2 linked regions of the Macaca fascicularis genome follow. Each later gene encodes a partner of the first gene's protein in a complex. Links are inferred from orthologs where the notes say so. Each region holds a gene or a part of one and is shown in the gene's direction. Other genes may lie near its edges. The genes, in order: JARID2 and AEBP2.

The links.
Region 2: the proteins of JARID2 (region 1) and AEBP2 are in contact, whole or in part, in a cryo-EM structure (PDB 8VNZ), measured with the Homo sapiens proteins. The link is inferred for Macaca fascicularis from reciprocal best matches to the Homo sapiens genes JARID2 and AEBP2. Residues at the interface, in NP_004964.2 of Homo sapiens: Ser148, Lys151, Pro152, Lys153, Thr154, Glu155, Asp156, Leu158, Thr159; in NP_001107648.1 of Homo sapiens: Arg407, Ala410, Ile411, Asn414, Leu415, Glu420, Ser421.

Annotation. Positions count from the first base shown.
Region 1 is NC_088378.1:157,429,663-157,440,385, reverse strand, and holds part of JARID2 (protein Jumonji), read left to right. Parts: intron 1-143; coding exon 144-249; intron 250-1,058; coding exon 1,059-1,241; intron 1,242-1,765; coding exon 1,766-1,896; intron 1,897-4,315; coding exon 4,316-4,499; intron 4,500-8,122; coding exon 8,123-8,230; intron 8,231-10,723.
Region 2 is NC_088385.1:22,278,656-22,289,378, forward strand, and holds part of AEBP2 (zinc finger protein AEBP2), read left to right. Parts: intron 1-4,808; coding exon 4,809-5,016; intron 5,017-9,042; exon of another isoform or gene 9,043-9,145; intron 9,146-10,723. UniProt on the Homo sapiens protein: Acts as an accessory subunit for the core Polycomb repressive complex 2 (PRC2), which mediates histone H3K27 (H3K27me3) trimethylation on chromatin leading to transcriptional repression of the affected target gene.

The DNA of each region.
Region 1 (10,723 bases):
CAGGCCAGCGCCCTGTCCCTGCTGGCGTGGAGCAGAGCCTCTCCCGTGTGCTCGGGTCCCTGAGGGTGACGGGGGGCGGCCCAGTACATGCAGGAGGCCCTTGTCAAGTGTCTGCTTGTCTCTTGTGTCTCTCAATGACCCAGGTATTGCATTCCTGCTGAGGAGGAGAACAAGCTGGAAGACGTGGTCCACACCCTGCTGCAAGCCAATGGCACCCCAGGGCTGCAGATGCTGGAAAGCAACGTCATGGTGCGTCCACTCAGCCGCCGCCTCCAGCAGGAACTGTAGGACCTCCTAGGCACTTGAACATGGTTTCCCATGAACCTGCTTTTCAAAGGCAATGAGAACACAGCAAAACAAATCCCCAGGGTGCAAAGGGAAAGGTCCTCAGACACAAAAGCCAAACTGACCATCCATCAGATTGCACAGGGTGCTGGGGTTTTGCACGGCCTTTGCATCTGTTTTGGGGCTTGTTCATGTTGAGGGCTGCTGTGGACTCTGGGTTTTCTTGTGCCCGCTGCTCCTACCTTCTGGGCACATGAGAGGAATGAGCACAAAGGCTTCTTCACTTGTTTTCAGGAAGTCATGGGGCTGGTGAGCTCCTGGGAGGTGCTGCTTTGGGCTGTGTTCTGACCAGCTTCTCTGGCCTCTGCTGACCCTGCTGGTCCAGCCTGTCCATCTTAGAGAAGAGATGGACGGGGGACTCCTTTGTAAGCGCAGCCTGTGGGCCTGTGGCCTACTTGGCTCTGGAGATGAGCCCGGCAGCCTCCTGGTTGTGTAACCTTGTCCCGTTTCCACCCCATGGCATTGCCAGGTGGGGACAGAGGGGCCTGTGTGGTCATCATGTCCTCAGCTGTGCATGAACCTGTCATCACTCTGGGGCCAGTGCAATTTAGAACTTCTTCTTGTGTTATGAATGACATCTTTTTATTTTCCACATAAAGCAATCTTGTCTCCTTGAGAGCAGGCCTCTTAGGGTGCTCATGCCTCACCTGAAGGCTGCAGGTGTCCCGGCGCACAGGGAGGGGGTGTGCCTCAGCCTGGCCCTGTCTCCCCAGATCTCCCCGGAGGTGCTGTGCAAAGAGGGGATCAAGGTGCACAGGACCGTGCAGCAGAGTGGCCAGTTTGTCGTCTGCTTCCCGGGATCCTTTGTGTCCAAAGTGTGCTGTGGGTACAGCGTGTCTGAAACCGTGCACTTTGCTACCACCCAGTGGACAAGTATGGGCTTTGAGACCGCCAAGGTAAGCAGAGCCAGCCTCCTCCCGCTGGCTGCCCCCGCATCCGTGTGAGCGCCGTGCGTGATTGCACACAGAAGCAGCCCTGCGTGTGCGTGTCTATCTGTAGATAGTTCCTTTTGGAATATGTCTTTGAAATTCTTAGGAGGTGGTTGAAAGGTCTTCTAGGAGTGAAAAGTTAGGGATTTGTTTGTATCACAAAGAGTTTTGATCATACCGTTACTGACAGATCCCTCCAGTATTGGAAAACTACTGAAGATACTTAAGGTAATTGCTTAGAATGAATGGACAGAGAACCTCCACCCATCGTGAGGTGGTGGCAGCTGCCTCTGGGTAGTGGCGAAGTGCTGTGACTTCTCCTGGTATGTGGTGCCTTTCTCACAGGGAGGCAAAGTTTTGAAGAGTTTTTAATCCAAATGCAATTCAAGATTTAGAAATTCGGACAGCCGGCCTGCCCCTCCACCAAGAAGAACCTTGACAGCTGCCTAGTCATGAAAATCCACGCTAAAGGGATGTGACTCCTCTTTCAGGAAATGAAGCGTCGCCATATAGCTAAGCCATTCTCCATGGAGAAGTTACTCTACCAGATTGCACAAGCAGAAGCAAAGAAAGAAAACGGGCCCACTCTCAGTACCATCTCAGCCCTTCTGGACGAGCTCAGGTAACAGACTCGGGGTTCTGGGAGACCCCCAGGGCCCACGTCAGAGAGCTTGACCTGGCTGCCCTTCGGGGGCTTAGCCGGGTAGACGCCCGGGGTGAGCAGACAGCGCTGCCTGCCTGCAGCCGCAGAGCCCCTTGGCACTGCACGGCCCATGTGATGCTTTTCCAGATGGGCAGAGGCTCAGGGTGTGCTGGTTTTTATTTTAACATTTTTTTTTTTAAGAAAATAATTTCCCCTTGATGTTCGGACTCCGAACCTCCAGCACCAAGAGGTTCCTCCTCTTTGTGGGATTGACTGCAAGGGGGGCGCCCGACCCCTGACACGTACTTGCTGACCCACTGCGTCAGAGCCTGGCTCTGCACCAGTTAGGGGAAGGCGTGGATAGCTGCCCCCGGTCCTCCACCCTCCATTTTCTTGCCAACCCCTTTGTGTGTGTGTGCCGTGTGTCTGTGGTGTGCGTGTGTGGTGTGTGTGTGGTGTGTGTGTGTGTGTGCTGTGTGTCTGTGTGTGGTGTGGGGGGTGTGTGGGATGTGTGGGATGTGTGGTGTGCGTGTGTGGTGTGTGTGTGTGGGGTGTGTGTGGTGTGCGTATGTGTGGTGTGGGGGGTGTGTGTGGTGTGCGTATGTGTGGGGGGTGTGTGTGTGTGGTGTGTGTGTGGTTTGTGGGGGGTGTGTGGTGTGCGTCTGTGTGGTGTGTGTGTGTGGGGTGTGTGTGTGGGGGGTGTGTGTGTGGTGTGTGTGTGGTGTGTGTGTGGTGTGGGGGGTGTGTGGGGTGCGTATGTGGTGTGTGTGTGGGGGGGGTGTGTGTGGTGTGCGTATGTGTGTGGGGTGTGGTGTGTGCGTGTGTGGGGTGTGTGTGGTGTGCGTATGTGTGGTGTGTGGTGTGCGTATGTGTGGTGTGTGGTGTGCGTATGTGTGGTGTGTGTGTGTGGGGTGTGGGGGGGTGTGTGGGGTGTGCGTATGTGTGGTGGGTGTGTGGGGTGTGTGTAGGTGGTGTGTGTGGGGGGGTGTGTGGGGTGTGTGTGTGGGGGGTGTGCGTTATGTGTGGTGTGTGGGGTGTGTGGGGTGTGTGTGTGTGGGGTGTGCGTTATGTGTGGTGTGTGGGGTGTGTGTGGTGTGTGTGTAGGGGGTGCGTGTGTGTGTGGTGTGCGTATGGTGTGCGTATGTGTGGTGTGTGTGGTGTGTGTGTAGGGGGTGCGTGTGTGTGTGGGGTGTGTGTGTGGGGGGGTGTGTGTGGTGTGTGTGTGGGGTGTGGTGTGTGTGTGGGGGGGTGTGGGTGTGTGTGGTGTGTGTGTGGTGTCCGTATGTGTGGTGTGTGTGGTGTGTGTGTAGGTGCGTGTGTGTGGGGGGGGTGTGTGGGGTGTGTGTGTGGGGTGTGTGTGGTGGGGTGTGTGTGGGGGGTGTGGGGGTGTGGGGTGTGTGTGGTGTGTGTGTGGGGTGGGGGGTGTGTGTGTGGGGTGTGTGTGGGGAGGGGTGTGTGTGGGGAGGGGTGTGTGTGTGGGGTGTGTGTGGGGAGGGGTGTGTGTGTGGGGGGTGTGGGGTGTGTGTGGTGTGTGTGTGGGGTGGGGGGTGTGGGTGTGTGGGGTGTGTGTGTGGTGTCCGTATGTGTGGTGTGTGTGTAGGGGGTGCGTGTGTGTGTGGGGTGTGTGTGTGGGGTGTGTGTGGGGAGGGGTGTGTGTGTGGGGTGTGTGTGGGGGGTGTGGGGGGTGTGTGGTGTGTGTGTGGGGTGGGGGGTGTGGGTGTGTGGGGTGTGTGTGTGGGGTGGGGGGTGTGTGTGTGGGGTGGGGGGTGTGGGTGTGTGGGGTGTGTGTGTGGTGTCCATATGTGTGGTGTGTGTGTAGGGGGTGCGTGTGTGTGTGGGGTGTGTGTGGGGTGTGTGTGGGGTGTGTGTGTGTGGGGTGTGGGGTGTGTGGGGGTGTGTGTGTGGGGGGTGTGTGTGGGGGGGGGTGTGGGTGTGTATGTGTGTGGAGCAGGTCAGGGCGGACGCTGAGCAGAGTGGCGCCCGTGTAACCCTCTTCTCTCTTCCCTACCGTGTAGTTCTCGGTGCCTCTCCCATCCTGGAGCAAGGCTCTGGGTTGTGTTGTGAGCACATGAATTTTGAACTTTTGGTGATAGTATCTTGACTCTCTCCTGGGCTTGGGACACAGGGAGAAGCCCTTACTAGGTGGCCGTGGTTTTGCAGGCGTTGTGACGCCTGCATTACTAAGTCTGGCCACAGAGTAGCCTCATCAGCCAGGGCTGCTACTGATCTGTGGACTAAGGCACCCGGGGAGGTGAGCTGGGCTCTGAACCCTGAGCAGGCCTCACTTCTGACAGGAGGGTGTGTCTGGAGGGAGGCCGGTGTGGGAAGTGCATGTCCTGCTGCTGGTGAGCATGGCTGGCTGTCACTAAAGGCGTGGGCCGTCCCCCGTGTCTGGCAGGGATACAGAGCTGCGGCAGCGCAGGCAGCTGTTCGAGGCTGGCCTCCACTCCTCCGCGCGCTACGGCAGCCATGATGGCAGCAGCACGGTGGCGGACGGGAAGAAAAAGCCTCGAAAGTGGCTGCAGTTGGAGACGTCGGAGAGGAGGTGTCAGATCTGCCAGCACCTGTGCTATCTGTCTATGGTGAGCCCACCTGGCACGGCCGGCGCCCTTGTGTGCAGTGCTTCCCCTGAGAGCTCCAGGGTTGCCCCCAGAAGAGGGAGGGTGCTCTCTGCACAGGAGACCTGCTGTGCTCCCATCTCTGGAGCTGGCTGTGGGACCTCAGCAGAGCTTCTGACCTCTGGAGGCGGCTGCCTCACCCGCAGTGACCAGGCCACACAGAGGCTGTCCCTCTACTCTGCCCACACGTGGCCCTCTCTCGGTCCCGCGGTGCCTCCTTCCTCCTTGCGGAGCAGGTGGCCTCCCTCCCCCCCCTACTTTGTCACCCCAGCCCCCACGCACTCTGCTCTTCATACTTTTTGAGACGGTCGGGGCGGGTTTCCCACAGTGCTGGGCAGCGTCTGCCACCCCCCGCCCAGTGACCTGTGCTTGGTAGACTTGGGCCCATGGCCTGTGCCCTTTGGCTCTGTTCTTGGCTTCCTGGTTCTGCTCAGGTACATGATCTGCCTCAGCCCCCAAGGACTTGGGAATCTGTCCTTGTTGAAAGCTGATGCTCCCCCTGTCCCATCTGGGATCAGAGCTGCTTTTCTGGCACAGCCACTCCAGGCTACAGCAGACTGCATTCCTCTCGCCTTCTCGACTGTACCCTGCCGGCCTCCTTGTGACCACCTGCCTTCCCCAGCTTTGGGCTTAATAACAAACACTGCCTCCTCCCCTGCTTGCCCTGTCCTAGACCAGAGGTGGGCTCAGAAAAGCCCTTCCATGGCAACTGGACGGCTGTGGCCCTCACCATGCTTCTTCCAGTCCTCCCTTGACCTCTCAGCAGGCAGCTGTCCTGACACACTCTGGGCAGGGATGCCTGGCTGGCACTGCAGATGGCTCCACGCCACTACACACCTTAGCCTGGAACAGAGAGCATGCCCGACAGGCCTGACCTGCCTCCCTGGGCCTCTTCCCTTTCCACAGTGCCTCCCTCCTCCAGTGCAGAGGCCTAGCTAGGAGGCGCCCGCTCCATACGCCGTGGTGCCTGTGTCCCACAGGTGTCCCCTCCAGCTGCACGTTCCCCGAGGGGCCAGTGCCTCTGCGTCCCTCTGCTTGTCCACGGTGGGCCAGGACTGAGACCTGGGTCGACTCTCCTCGGCCTCCCAGTGTGACTGGGTCATGCCGCCTCACCCCAAGTCCTGGCGTGCCCTGTAGAAGAGGGAGGACACGGCCTCTCCCGGACGAGTCAGATCGGGGCTTTGTACCATTTGAAAGAGCTGAAAACTCTGTGTGTCCTCGTCTCCTCCTTACCTAAGGACACAACTCACGGTGTATCCGATAGGCCCCTTCATGGCCTCATTCGAGCCGATTTACCTCTTTAGAGGCTCCACCTCCTCCTGCAGTCACAGCTGAGGTCCTGGAGGTTCACGCTGGCATTTCATGGGGGACAAATGCAGTCCGTGACCACCCTGCCTCCCATCCTGTAGGTTTCCTTCTATCTAGTTTTTCCCCCAGACTTCTCAAAATGTATTACCTAGAGCCATTCTGTTCTTAAAATGATAAGCATTTTCTCAGATCTTCAAAGTACCTTATGAACATCACTGATAAAAGCTGCATAGCTTGGTGTGCTCTTTCTTTTCTTTTTTCCTTCTTTTTTTTTTTTGAGACAGTCTCGCTCTGTTGCCCAGGCTGGAGTGCAGTGGTGTGATCCTGTCTCACTGGAGCCTCAGCCTCCGGAGTAGCTGGGATAGCAGGTGTACCACCACGCCCGGCTAACTTTTAGTTTTGGTAGAGGTGGGGTTCTGCTATGTTACCCATAGGCTGCCTACTTCAGCCTCCCAGAGCCCTGGGATTACAGGCATGGGTCACTGTGCCCAGCTGTCCATCCTCTTGCTGGAACACTCTATTCATTGTCCATGTGTGTGAGGGCTGTATGGTGGTTACTCCTGGGGGTGAAGCTGGTCTGTCCATGTGAGGTGGCACCAGGTGGCTTCATTTTCAAGCCATCCTTCAGAAACTGCAGAGTTGTCACGTGGCATTTCCTGTCAGCCTGAAAGTTATTTTCAAAAGAATATATTGTGAGGCCGGCCATGGTAGGCTAATCCCAGTGCTCTGGGAGGCAAAGATGGGCAGATCACTCAAGGCCTGGAGTGCGAGACCAGCTTGGGTAACATAGTGAGACTCAATTTCTACAAAAAATTAACTGGGTGTGGTGGTGGGGGTATCACTTGAGCCCAGAAGTTCAAGGCTACAGTGAGCCTTTGCAGGCTGGGTGACAGAGTGACAACCTGTCTCTTTAATTTAAAAAAAAAAAAGGCCAGGCACAGTGGCTTACACTTGTAATCCCAGCACTTTGGGAGGCCGAGGCGGGCCAGTCACAGCCTGGCCAACATGGTGAAACCCCGTCTCTACTAAAAATACAAAAAAATTAGCCGGGTGTGATGGCACGCACCTGTAGTCCCAGCTCCTCTGGAGGCAGTGGTTGCAGTGAGCCAAGATCGCGCTATTGCGCTCCAGCCCAGGTGACAGTGTGAGACTTCATCTTAAAAAAAAAAAAATATATATATATATATATATATAAAAATCCATGGGCAAAAATTGGGGTCTGACTTGTGTTGACAATTTGCATTGCTTGGATTACTAATACATTTGTAAATTTTAATTAGATGTGTTTCCTATTCTTCCTGTCCTTGGCCCCAAGTGTCTCTCTAAGGTCTTGTGTCAGTAGGTGGCATTCCCACACTCCTACAACATGTTCTCTGTTTCTCGCTTAGAAACACTGCAGACGAAAACAAGTCCTTCCCCTCAAGCTTTCTGAGAAAGGCCTGTGACCCTTCTGCCTCTTGAGTATTGAGACTGAATTTTTCCTTATTTTCAAACTCAGAATTAGAATAGTACTTGGAGTCAGCGTGAAGTATGGGAGCCCTCCCACAGAAGCCAGGTGGACAGGCCCGCAGTGAGGGTCTCTGTCCCAGCAGTCTCCTGTGGCCTTAGGCAGCAAGGCATCCACAGCTGGCGGACAGCCCGCCCAGGGAGGCCGGGGCTGGTGGGTGAGCTGGTCCGCACTGCAGAGGCCAGGAATCTGTGATGTTGAGGGTGTCGGGGGAGTTTGCATGGGGTCATTGGATGCCCCTTGCTCTGTTGACTGAGCCGCTCGTGGACCACCATGAGAACCAGTTTTGCTGCTGGAAAGTCCAGGGCGTGTTTCCTGCGTGGCTGCCCGAGTTGGAGTCCTCCATGTTCCACATCTATGCCAGCACTAGGGTGGTTTCGAACCCAGGGTCTCAGCAGCCCTCAGAACTCAAGAGATTAGAAAATGTACCCCTCACTGTCTTTACCAGCCTGGTGGTGACTGAACCTCTCCCAGGAAACTCCAGCAGAAATCTGGAGGGGACATGAGGGCCACCCCAGGTCTCACTCAGAGGTCGTCCGCTCCTCACTTTCCTAGTTGAAGACCATGTTTCAGGTGGTTTGTCGGTTTTCGTTTGAGTCCATCTCCAGTGTTTCCAGGCCTCAAAGCCCTTGGCCCGGGTGGTGGGTGCCAGGGCTGCTCTGGCTGGGGCCGTGGGTGTGAGGGCTGCCTGGCTGGGCATGCGCCCACTTTACCCTCCCAGGGTGCTGTGGAGTTGTGTTCTGACCTCCGGGTGTCCTGCTCTTGCTTGCAGGTGGTACAAGAGAACGAAAACGTCGTGTTCTGTCTGGAGTGTGCTCTGCGCCATGTGGAGAAACAGAAGTCCTGCCGAGGGCTGAAGTTGATGTACCGCTACGATGAGGTCAGTCCCTGCCCGCGGGGTAGGGTGGGGTGGCAGCGTGGCGCCTTCCCTGGTCCTGGCTGGATGTAGGCCCTCCGGCCTGGCAGTTCTGTGCCTGGTGGGCAGCCAGGGCTCTGCAGGCCTGAGGTGTCCTGTTCTTAAGCCCTAAACCCACTCAGGCCCCACATTAGGATCCCGAGGGGAGCAGGGCTCCTGCATGGGCCCGGAGTGCCGTGCATTTGGATTTCAGAGATGGGCTCTCACCAGGGCTGAGGCTCTTCTTGCAGCCTCACTGACTTTCCCAGGGGCTGCACCACTGTGGTTTAGAGCCAGACCCTTTTTTGTGGTGACCTGTCCCAGGCACAGTGGGACGGTTGGCAGTGGACTCGCCAATCTCCACTCACTCGACGCCAGCCCCTCCAGGCTGAGAGAGCTGGAAGTGTCTGCAGACACTGGGGCAGGATGGGAAGTCCCAGTGCCATCCTGCAGGCGCCAGCTCTTCTGGAGGGAGAGGTCGTAACAGTGCACAGCCTGTGCAGCTGGGGGCTGCCCTGAGTGGCGGAACTGGCAGCAGTGCCTCTCCCCTGCTCTGCCCCACGTGTGCTTCCCCTGCTCTGCCCGCCTTCCCTGCGTGTGCTTCCCACGGACTCTGATGAGGCTGGTTACGAGGACGGTCACCACACTGTGGTCATTGCACAGTTGAGGCCACTGAGTGGGGCGGGTGCTGCGGGTCTGACTGTGCGGGGCCTGGTGCGTCTGGGGGCCCAAGCGGTGGGGCCAAGTGGTGGGTCTCACTCAATAAGCCTTGAGCTAAACGATTGGAGAGCTGGAAGAAGAACTCTTTGCATCTGTTTTGTTTCAAAGAGCATGCTGGGTGAAGGCAGTAAGCACCTGCTGTCCCTCCTCCACCTCAACAGCAAACGTCCAGGCACAGTCACAAACAACGAAGCCTTCGCGGCCGAGATGAGTGTGGCTCTGGCACCTTGTGCAGTGCAGGTGCTGGCACAGGAAGGCTTCCTCTGGCTGCCTGGAAAGTGCTCTGTGGATCGTGCGTTGCGCCCCTCACCAGCAGCCTGTTTCTGCAGCTGCATGTCTGACGTGACCAGATCCTGGGAAAAGAATGGCATGCAGGGGCTAAGACCTAATGGTTGGTTTTGATGAATTAGGAGGAGCAAAGGTATTTAGAAACTGCATACTCTGCAGCGGCTGATGTAGTTCAGTAAGCAAGTCTGTGCCTCTGTCCCCTGTTGAGCTGTGCATTGTGTTTTGTTTTAGAGACGGAGTCTCACTCTGTTGCCCAGACTGGAGTGCAGTGGCATGATCTCGGCTCACTGCAACCTCTGCCTCCTGGGTTCAAGTGATTCTCCTGCCTCAGCTAGGATTACAGGCATGTGCCACCATGCACCCGGCTAATTTTTCTTTTTAGTAGAGACAGGGTTTTACCATGTTGGTCAGGCTGGTCTCAAACTCCTGACCTCAGGTGATCTGCTCGCTTCGGCCTCCCAAAGTGCTGGGATTACAGGCGTGAGCCACCACATCTGACCCATTCTTTTAAATAGGAAATTTCTAGCTTGTAAACAGAGACCATTGCAAAATCTTGTTCTCAACCTCCCAGTGTGCCCAGCACACAAATCACCCATGGCTGTGCCTGCTGACCTGGGACAGTCTGCTTTAAACACCTACCTTTTGGGGGGTAGGGGACACACCTAGATTGCAAATCCCTGAATTCATGGCTTGGGTTCTCATGGATGGTGAAGCTCTCTGGGGAGTTTGGAGCCATGTGTGCCTCCGGCCCTTGCAAGCTGGCTGAGCAGGGTCCAGTGAGCAGGGTGCTGGGCTGCCTGCTACCAAGCCTGGCGTGAGGGCACTGGTCTGGGGCAGGTGCTGTCCGCCTGTTGAGCTGCATGTGGGGAGGGAACAGTGCCCTCCTGTAACCGCACGCGGCCGGCTCCTCCTCACTCGTCCTTATGGTAAGGTAGCTGTAGTCCCCTAAATGGGTGTTATGGCAGCTCAGCCACTTACTCCTTATCAGTGTTCATCATCAGTGCCTCAGGCCGCCATGACTATGGTGTTATTACAGATCCGTGCGCACCCCCCTTCCAAGGGCGCCTTTAACTTGTGATGGGAGCCAGCTGTCACTCCTTACCCTTATCTTGGGGTCTTTCCAGAGGGCTAGAGATCAGGCCCTCAGATGTTTCATTCCATGGCTGGCTTCCTCGCCTGCCGGACTCAGCGTGGTTCCCAGCCACCCCTGGCCCAGAGAGATGCTTGTGAGATGCACGTTTGCTACTCCTCCCCATGTTCTTTTTAAAAATGAGATGATTATAGGATGTACTGTGTGAAAGTTACACACGCAGTTTTGGTGCCGACAGATAAATGATTCTCTTGGGTGAATTACAAGGATATCTATAGGTGACAAGTGTTTGCATTTATTTGCATGACCAGGTTCAGTGACTGGTAGCTAAAGTGAGTCAAGTAGCTTGGGTATTTGTGTCACCATCCAGGACGTAACAA
Region 2 (10,723 bases), on another chromosome or scaffold:
TGGGGCCAAAAGGGAGCCTGGAGTTTTAGGATTGGATATTTTGTAGAAGTGGGAGGAGCCTAAGAGGGGTTGTGAAGCAGAACTTCTGTTGGCCCTTATCAGCTTGAGGGAGACTCTGTGTGTGGGATGTCTTGAGTGTCCCAGGATCTGCCTCTCACCTTGTCTACCATTGTATTCACAGCTTAGTCCCCAGTGGTAGGCAAAGCTCATGTTCTTAACATTTGTATTATGCTGTCTTTATCAGCAGCTACATGCACATGAAGTATTGTTTCAAGTATGTGATATCACGCATAGACTCAACAATGCTTACTCTTCCCAGATTTTGGACTTTTTTTTACGGTTCCTTTTCTTTTTTTTTTTTTTTTTTTTTTTGAGACGGAGTCTCACGCTGTTGCCCAGGCTGGAGTGCAGTGGCGCGATCTCGGCTCACTGCAAGCTCCGCCTCCCGGGTTCCCGCCATTCTCCTGCCTCAGCCTCCTGAGTAGCTGGGACTACAGGCGCCCGCCACTGCGCCCGGCCAATTTTTTGTATTTTTAGTAGAGACGGGGTTTCACTGTGGTCTTGATCTCCTGACCTTGTGATCCGCCCGCCTCGGCCTCCCAAAGTGCTGGGATTACAGGCTTGAGCCACCGTGCCCGGCCCGGTTCCTTTTCTTTGGTAAAGGTAATGAACAAAAGTACATGAAGTACTATGTAGATAGATTCCATAATGATGTTTCACAGGTATATACATCTCTCTTAACCTTACTTTGTCCAGTTAAAAAAATTGATTTGGTTTTCAACTAATTTTGGACTTTTTAATAAAAGCAGTATAGGTACAACATGGTTAAAATGGTATAAAAAGGGTGTATACAGTGAAAGATAAGTTTCTCTCCCACTCATCCCTTCTCCCATATATTCACTAGGTTTCATTTATCTTTCTGTGCCCTTGGAGACTAGCTATATCTCTGTCTCCCTCCCCCACTTAGGTATGCAAATTGGAACATTACTACCCTTCACTTGTGTTTGTTTTACTTAACTATACCTTGCAGATTGTTCCATGGTAGTTCATTGAGTTTTTATTACTCTTCCTGAGATTGTTTATAAATTGGTTATGATTGGTTGTTCACTTAGAATTATTAGTTTTTGCCTTAGAGTTAAATTAGTATGGTTTATGTAAGTATGTGCTTTATAGTTGAATGTTTTAAAATATATAAAGCAAGCGGTAGGGAAAATAGGTAACCATTTCAGGATTAAGGGCCTCATGAAACTTGAAATTTTCTTGCTCTGTCGCCCAGGCTGGAGTGCAGTGGTGCTTTCTTGGCTCACTGCAAGCTCCGCCTTCTGGGTTCACACCATTCTCCTGCCTCAGCCTCCGGAGTAGCTGGGAGTACAGGTGCCCGCCACCACGCCCGGCTAAGTTTTTGTATTTTTAGTAGAGATGGGGTTTTACTGTGTCAGTCAGGATCGTCTTGATCTCCTGACCTCGTGATCCGCCCTCCTTGGCCTCCCAAAGTGCTGAGATTACAGGTGTGAGCCACCGCCTGGCCAGGGGAAACTTGAAATTTCTAGGGTTTAAATAAAATTTGTATTTCGGTGTAGAAAACCACCATACCCAAGGTTACTCCTGCAACAACAAACAATATATGCATATTCAGATATTCAAGAACTGATTCACATTTGAGATTACAGAGTTTTAGAATGAAGCCTTAGAGATGCAATTTAGAATCTTATGCTGACTAGGCAGGTAAATATATATTTATTGCATTTAACTAACTAGGTAGATAGTTAGATGAGCTTAGATACTAGAATATCCTTTAAAGGAAAACCCAAGACATTTTTCTTTTTTTTTTTTTTTTTTTTTTTTTTTTTTTGAGACGGAGTCTCACGCTGTTGCCCAGGCTGGAGTGCAGTGGCGCGATCTCGGCTCACTGCAAGCTCCGCCTCCCGGGTTCACGCCATTCTCCTGCCTCAGCCTCCTGAGTAGCTGGGACTACAGGCGCCCGCCACCGCGCCCGGCTAATTTTTTGTATTTTTAGTAGAGACGGGGTTTCACCGTGGTCTCGATCTCCTGACCTTGTGATCCGCCCGCCTCGGCCTCCCAAAGTGCTGGGATTACAGGCTTGAGCCACCGCGCCCGGCAGCCAAGACATTTTTCATATCTGAAGCATCCTACAAAAATATCTGCTTTTAAAAATGGATATGTTTCTAGCGTGGGCTACAATACAAGACTCCGCCTCTACAAAAAAAAAAAAAAATTTAGCTGGGTGCAGTGGGTTATGCCTGTAGTCCTAGTACTTTGGGAGGCCAAGGCAGGAGGATTGCTTGAGCCCAGCCTGGGCAACATAAAGAGACGTCGTGTTTACAGAAATTTAAAAAATTTAGTCGACCATAGTGGTGCACACCTGTAGGCCCGGCTACTCAGGAGGCTGAGGTAGGAGGATCACTTGAGCCTGGTAGGTCAAGGCTGCAATGAGCCGTGTTAGCACCACTGCACTATAGGCGTGGCAACGGGGTGAGGATCCTGCCTTAACATCCCCCTAACCCCCCACAGTGGGTATGTTTGATGTTAGACACAGATCATTATAAAGCTTACTTAAGCTAACAAAATTCATGTAAATTTTCTCCGGTGTGAGTGAATAGGTTGTATTGGTATATAGATGAATGTTCTTTTTAGTTTTTGAGACAGAGTCTCGCTCTGTCACCCAGGCTGGAGTGCAGTGGTATTATCTTGGCTCACTGCAACCTCCTCCTCCCAGGTTCAAGCAATTCTCTGCCTCAGCCTCCTGAGTAGCTGGGATTACAGGCATGCGCCACCACGCCCTGCTAATTTTTGTATTTTTAGTAGAGATGTGATTTCACCATCTTGACCAGGCTGGTCTTGAACTCCTGACCTTGTGATTCACCCACCTCAGCCTCCCAGAGTGCTGGGATTATAGGCGTGAGCCCCCGCACCTGGCCTGAATGTTTTTTTTTTTTTGTTTTTTTGAGATGGAGTCTAGCTGTGTCGCCCAGGCTGGAGTGCAGTGGCATGATCTCTGCTCACTACAATCTCCGCCTCCTGGGTTCACACCATTCTCCTGCCTCAGCCTCTGGAGTAGCTGGGACTGCAGGCACATACCACCATGCCTGGCTAATTTTTTGTATTTTTAGTAGAGACGGGGTTTCACCATGTTAGCTAGGATGATCTCAATCTCCTGATCTTGTGATCTGTCCGTTGCAGTCTCCCAAAGTGCTGGGATTATAGGCATGAGCCACTGTGACCTGCCTGAATGTTCTTTTTTTTAAGAAGGTATGTGCTGTGGTTGACTGTCATGATGCCTGCAACTTTGAAATGATTCAGAGAAACAGATTACAGATAGCAAATACGGTAAAAATGTTAATTGAATTCAGATTTAGCTATATTTTGTGTCTTTGAAATTTTCCATGATAAAAACTTGGCAGGAGGGAAGCATACCTCTTTAAAGTTAATACAATTTTCACAACTTGACTTGTGTTATTTCTTAAATTGCAAGCAGATATACACCCTTTCACAGATTTAGTCTGAAAACATTCTTCCTCTTGACCCTTATGATTGAAGTGACTTTCATGTAATTTATTTATTGAGAAGATTTTGAAAAAAGAAAATAAGTGAATTGCTTTTAAAATTAAGGAAAAAGTGTGGTACATTTTATTAAGCTGTGAATTTTTGAGCATTTTGACCACTAATAATATAATTTTTTTAAATAAAAGAGTTACTACTATGTAATACTTTATTTTATTTTTTGAGACAGAGTTTTGCTCTTGTTGACCAGGCTGGAGTGCAATGGCGTGATCTTTAATTTAATTTAATTTTATTTTATTTTATTTTTTGAGACAGAGTTTTGCTCTTGTTGACCAGGCTGGAGTACAGTGGTGCGATCTCCACTCACTCCAACCTCTACCTCCTAGGTTCAAGAGATTCTCCTGCCTCAGCCTCCCGAGTAGCTGGGATTACAGGCACCTGCCACCACACCCAGCTAATTTTTTGTATTTTTAGTAGCAATAGGTTTTCACCATGTTGAGCAGGCTGGTCTCGAACTCCTGGCCTCAGGTAATCTACCCGCCTCGGCCTCCCAAAGTGCTGGGTTTGCAGGAGTGATCCACCACGTCCAGCCATATGTAATACTTTAGTAAATAAAAATTAAAAGGAATTGGTTGACGTTTTCAGTCTTGTTTTTATGGCTAGAGATGAGTTAAAAAAATAAAATTTTAGGGTCAGGAAAAGATTTTTTATTTGGACTTTAGAAAAATCAGAGACCAGTTTTCTCTCTTCTGCTTTTTTATTTATCAGGGAAAATACTGCAAAATCTCCCCAATTCTTTGATATGAAAAGGGAGTAGGAGTGGTAGCAGTTATATTTTCAGATTAATGATTAGAAGAGATTTCAGGTCAACAAGTGATTTGCAGAGCCATAAAGATAATGCTTTGATTATGTATTATTTACAGCTGGAAACTCTTACTTTCTCTTGCTGCTTTGAACTGTGGAAGGGATGAGATGTGATAAGCTGTGTGTGGGTGTGGGTGTGGTTTGTTTTCTGTAAGATATAGTATTGAGTTCATGCCTGCCAAAAGTTGCTTAAATTATTCCATATCTGATTTTGAGGTACTGTCATGTTTCTGTCTTGATTTGTACTTCATTGCCAACTAATTAATATCAAAGCATTGTTGTTTTCTAATGGAGAATATGGTTACTATGCTTTGCTCACATGGAGCAGAATGTCAAGTGGTAATCTTAATTAAGTATTTATAAGATCATATTCATGTTAGTATATTTCTAGGAATAACACAGCCTTTTTTCTTCTTTTGTAGCATAAGCAGTACTATAATGGATGTAGACAGCACAATTTCCAGTGGGCGTTCAACTCCAGCAATGATGAATGGACAAGGAAGCACTACTTCTTCAAGCAAAAATATTGCCTATAATTGTTGTTGGGACCAGTGCCAGGCTTGCTTCAACTCTAGCCCAGATCTGGCAGATCACATCCGTTCCATACATGTAGATGGTCAGCGAGGAGGGGTTGGTTTTGTCATTTCTTTTTTTCACTCCCTGTTTTCGTTAGTTTTATTATAATTGCTAGTTAGGCTTTTTTGCTGAAAGTAATTTGGGATTATTTTTACACAGGCTTAATTTTTTCAAGTGAATTTTTAATAATTATTTCCCAATTATTTGATAGAATCAAATAAAAATAGGATATGTGTTGGATTTTAGTTTGCTTTTAGATACGTTATTTTGAAGAAATTAGACTTTTAAAAATATAGTAGGTGACAGTATTATAAATGAATACAGTGTATTCCAGGGTTCTGATGTTTTGAGTTGAGAACATTTAGAATTAGCACTGTCTTGGTTTTCCTTTGTTAGAGGATCCTAAATTATTCCTGATGCTTAAATTAACTGGGGAGACTATTGGTACCAGGATTAGTATATGCAATTCTATTAAATGACAACCTGAACTCATTATTTGTGAGTGAGAGTTGATAATCTTTCCCAGGTCTTGACAAAACTATTTAGATGGAAAGTTCTGATTCGTCAGTATTGACCTATATCCTTTCAGGAATACATTTAATTGTGTCAGTTCATGTAACTTCTATTAGGTACTGAATAAAGAGCTAAGCAAATGGGTAAGCCAAAAGTAATGTGCCAGAATATTAATTTATACATTGTTTCAGCTTTACCTAGATTTTTGTTGAATAGTTATCACACTTAGTGCATTTTTCAGAAATTACTGTCACAGTGTAAGGGCAGGTAATTTATTAGTATTAGGCCACACATTTCTTATCAGCCTTCCATCACTATTGAAGAACAGATAACTAACATAGTAAAAACCATCATGGTTTAAGTTAGTGGATAACTGTTTCCAAGGTTCTGTTGATACTTAGAGTATAATATTGATCTTTTTTTTTTTAAACATCCAGCCAAGTCAACATTTCTAACATTTTAAGCAGTGATGTCATACTTGAATTTTTTTTTTTTTTTTTTTTTTTTGAGATGGAGTCTTGCTCTGTTGCCCAGGCTGGAGTGCAGTGGCGTGATCTTGGCTCACCACAGCCTCTGCCTCCTGGGTTCAAGTGATTCTCCTGCCTCAACCTCCTGAGTAGCTGGGATTACCAGTGCTTGCCACCATGCCTGGCTAATTTTTGTTTGTATTTTTAGTAGAGATGGGGTTTTGCCATGTTGGCTAGGCTGGTCTCGAACTCGTGAACTCAAGTGATCCGCCCGCCTTGGCCTCCCAGAGTGCTGGGATTATAGGCATGAGTCACCGTATGTGGCCGAAATTTCTTTTAAGACATATTCTTCCCTGTCACAATATATTATAATGTGTCAGCAGTCTTTTGATTACTCAAACTTGATAAGTAAACACTTGTACATTTGTCTTCTTGTTAGAGTTAATAGGTATGATGTCTGAGTAACCAGTAAAATGTTATACTTACCTATGATTTGTTAATTAACTGTGTCCATCATACGGTATTTTCAGTGTAAAACCCAGCTCAGTGGTTAGGCTACTTTGGTAACCCAGTCTTCTCCCCCAAGCCGTATGTCAGATACTTAGAGTGAAATATCTTAGCAAGTTGGTTTTCTGGCTTTTGTAGATCTGCTTTTTGTAAGCCAGTGCTTGATGTCACTTGGTATATACCATTTTTGAGCATCATGGCATGATGCTTTTTTGTCACTTGACTTAGCAACTGTATATAGAATCATGAGCTATTTGGAAGATCACTGGGCTTCTCTTGATGTGGAAGATGTGGGAGCGGTAGATGTGGGAGCGGGAGAATTTCACATTTCTGAGTCTTGGAATCCCGCAAGTCGAGTTGGCATACAACCTGATGAGAATTTCACCCCTTTCCAGATTTTTAGAAAAAATGCAATTACAGTCTGATTTTAATTTTTTTTTAAAGTAATTAATTTTTTTTTTTTTTTTGAGACAGAGTTTGGTTCTCGTTGCCCAGTCTGCAGTGCAATGGTGTGGTCTCAGCTCACTGCCATCTCTGCCTCCTGGGTTCAGGTGATTCTCCTGCCTCAGCCTCCGAGTATCTGGGATTACAGGCGTGAGCCACCATGCCTGGCTAATTTTTTTTGTATTTTTGGTAGAGACGGGATTTCACCATGTTAGCCAGGCTGGTCTCGAACTCCTGACCGCAGGTGGTCCACCCGCCTTGGCCTCCTAAAATGCTGGGATTACAAGTGTGAGCCACCGCATCTGGCCAAGACTGATTTTTAAAATAAATATATCATGTAATCACAGTAACTATATACATGTACATTGCTGATATTATAGAATTAGACATGAAATGTTGGCATTTGTCCCGTAAGTGTAATATTGAAATGAAAAATCTCCCATGTCATTTCTTGAACCCTTATTCAAAATATCACTTGATTACCAATAATAAGATTCTGTAGCTGATTTTAAGAGTAATGCTGTTTGGCCAGGCGCGGTGGCTCATGCCTGTAATCTCAGCTCTTTGGGAGGCTGAGGCAGGCGGATCACGAGGTCAGGAGTTTGAGACCAGCCTGGCCAATATGGTGAAACCCCATCTCTACTAAAAATACAGAAATTAGCTGGGTATGTTTGTGCGCCCCTATAGTCCCAGCTACTGGGGAGGCTGAGGCAGAAGAACCACTTGAACCCGGGAGGCGGAGGTTGCAGTGAGCTGAGATCGCACCACTTCACTCCAGCCTGGGTGACAGAATGAGACTCTGTCTCAAAAAATAAAATAAAATAAAAAGAGTAATGCTATTTTGACCAAAGATAGGAGTCCTGATCTTTGAAGGACATTATTTGCTAAACTATAAATGTGAAGGATCAAATAATGTAGAAAATGCATCCCAGTTTTTTCCTACACACCAGTCATTAGGATATAGACTATGGTTTGTTTGTTTGTTTGTTTGTAGAGATGAGGTTTCACCATGTTGCCCAGGCTGGTCTCCAACTCCTGGACTCCAGTGATCTGCCCGTCTTGGTCTCTGAAAGTGCTGAGATTACAATAGACTATGTGTTTTGAATGATAAAATATGAATGAGAAATTGAGGGTACTATTATAAAAGACAAGAAAACTCAATCCGATTTTGTGCTTTGAGATTGACTTTTGTGTTTGTTTTTTCTTTTATTTTCTTTTTTTGAGATGGAATCTCTGTTGCCCCGGCTGGAGTGCAGTGGCACGACCTCAGCTCACTACAACCTCTGCCTCTCGGGTTCAAGCAGTTCTCCTGCCTCAGCATCTCAAGTAGCTGGGATTACAAGTGTGCACCACCACGCCCAGCTAATTTTTGTATTTTTAGTATGGATGGGGTTTCACCATGTTGGCCAGGCTGGTCTTGAACTCCTGACCTAAGGAGTTCCTGAGGAGGACCTGATCATCCTCCTCAGCCTCCCAAGGTGCTGGAATTACAGGCGTGAGCCACCATGCCTAGCAGGTTTTGTGTTTTGAAGAGTAATTGTTGGTTGGAACATCAGATTTTTTTTCTTTGAAATGAACTTTAAGAAAACAAAAACATTTTCGGCTGGGCACAGTAATCCCAGCACTTTGGAAAGCTGAGGCAGGTAGATCGCTTGAGCTCAGGAGTTTTCAGGCCAGCCTGGGCAACATGACAAAATCCTGTCTCTACAAAAATTAGCTGGGTGTGGTGGCACACACCTGTGGTCTTAGCCACTCAGGGGGATGAGGTGGGAGAATTGCTTGAGCCTAGGAGGTTGAGGTGCTGTGAGATCACGCCACTGCACTCCAGCCTGGATGACAGAGTGAGATCCTGTCTCAAAAAAAAGAACAAAAAACAATTTTAATGTACAGTTCAGGGGCTTTAAGTACGTTCACCTTATTGTGTAATCGTCACCCACTGTCTCCAGAACTTGTAAATTATCATCCCAAATTGAGATGTATATCCATTAAACAAACTTACTGTCTGCTCCCACTAGCTCCTGGTAACCACAGTTCTACTTTCTATCTCTGTGTGTTTGACTGTTGTAGGTATCTAATATAAGTAGAAAACACCTGATTTTGTTGGCCTAATTATTTTTTTAGTTTTCTTATTTCTTCTTTCTCTCTTAAGTGTTAAAGTGTCATCATGGAACAGAAACAGATGAGGAAAAAATTGGTAACCCTAGAAGATTTTATGCTTCTGATTATTGAAAGATGACAATTTTACTGGAGCAGTAAGTTAGCAAGATCTAAACTATATTAATTTATGTTCTTTTTCTCATTCCACTATAATCTTTGCCCTGGGGAGAAAAGCAAAACCATTATATAACCACTTAGCATTGTTTTTTTCCCCCTTTTAAGCTGTTTATGTTGCTATGTTCATGTGGACTTCTTTGGAGGCTGAAGTCAAGTGGAGTTTAGATTTTCCTGGCCTGATTTCTACATTAAAATCAAACTAATCATTTAAACACCAAATTATGAATACACTTTTTTTTTCTTAGATATGAGGTCTCACTGTGTTGCCCATGCTGGTCTTGCCTTGGCTTCCCAAAGTGCTAGGATTACAGGCGTGAGCCACCATGCCCCGACCAATACACCTTTTTAAAAAAAAAAATCATTAGAGTGCTTTCTACAATTTCAAAAATAAAAACAAAACAGGCAAAAAGAGAATCAAACTTATCTTTAGTGTTAAATATGATAGAATTTTGTTACTGTTGCCCAGGCTGGAGTGCAGTGGTGCAATCTCCGCTCACTGCAACCTCCACCTCCCAGGTTTGAGTGATTCTCCTATGTCAGCCTCCTAAGTTGCAGGGACTACAGGTATGCTCCACCACACCTGACTGACTTTTGTATTTTTAGTAGAGATGGGGTTTCACCATGTTGGCCAGCCTAGTCTCGAACTCCTGACCTCAGGTGATCCACCTGCCTCTGGCTCCCAAAGTGCTGGGATTACAGGCCTGAGCCACCGTGCCTGGCCTAGGTCCGTTCTTCTGTGTGTGACTGATTTCTGAAGATTAGGCTCTGAGTTATCTTACTAATCAAATTTCAAATCCCAGTGTCCTCTTAATATACACCTAAGTCTTGGAAAGTGGGGAACTTATAGGACTTTAGAGGCTCAGTGTAAAATATATTACTGCTCTTTCTTTCTCAGCTATTTCTCACATAAAAACAATTTCTGGAAAGCTGTTTAGATTTCTTGATACAGGATTTATTTTCTGTGTCATTTCAGGTTTACTTTTGCATATATTCTTTGGTGTGTTTTTTTGCTGAGAGGCAAAGCGAGGCGATTTTGGGCAAGGGAGGAATATGATACGATGTTATTGGAAGACTTGAATGAGTACAGTTAACTATAGCGCTCAGGAGGTCAAGGTTGCAGTGAGCTATGATTGTGCCTCTGCCTTACAGCCTGGATGATAGAGCAAGATTCTGTCTCATTTAAAAAAAAAAAAAAGAAAAGAAAAATAAGGCTTGATGGTATCATGGAATCATCCGTCCACCCCCTCTGTCTGACTTTTGTGTTTTTTTTTGTTAATGAGACAGAGTCTTTTTTTTTTGTTTTTGTTTTTGTTTTTGAGACGGAGTCTCGCTCTGTCGCCCAGGCTGGAGTGCAGTGGCGCGATCTCGGCTCACTGCAAGCTCCGCCTCCCGGGTTCACGCCATTCTCCTGCCTCAGCCTCCCGAGTAGCTGGGACTACAGGCGCCCACAACCGCGCCCGGCTAATTTTTTGTATTTTTAGTAGAGATGGGGTTTCACCGTGGTCTCGATCTCCTGACCTTGTGATCCGCCCGCCTCGGCCTCCCAAAGTGCCGGG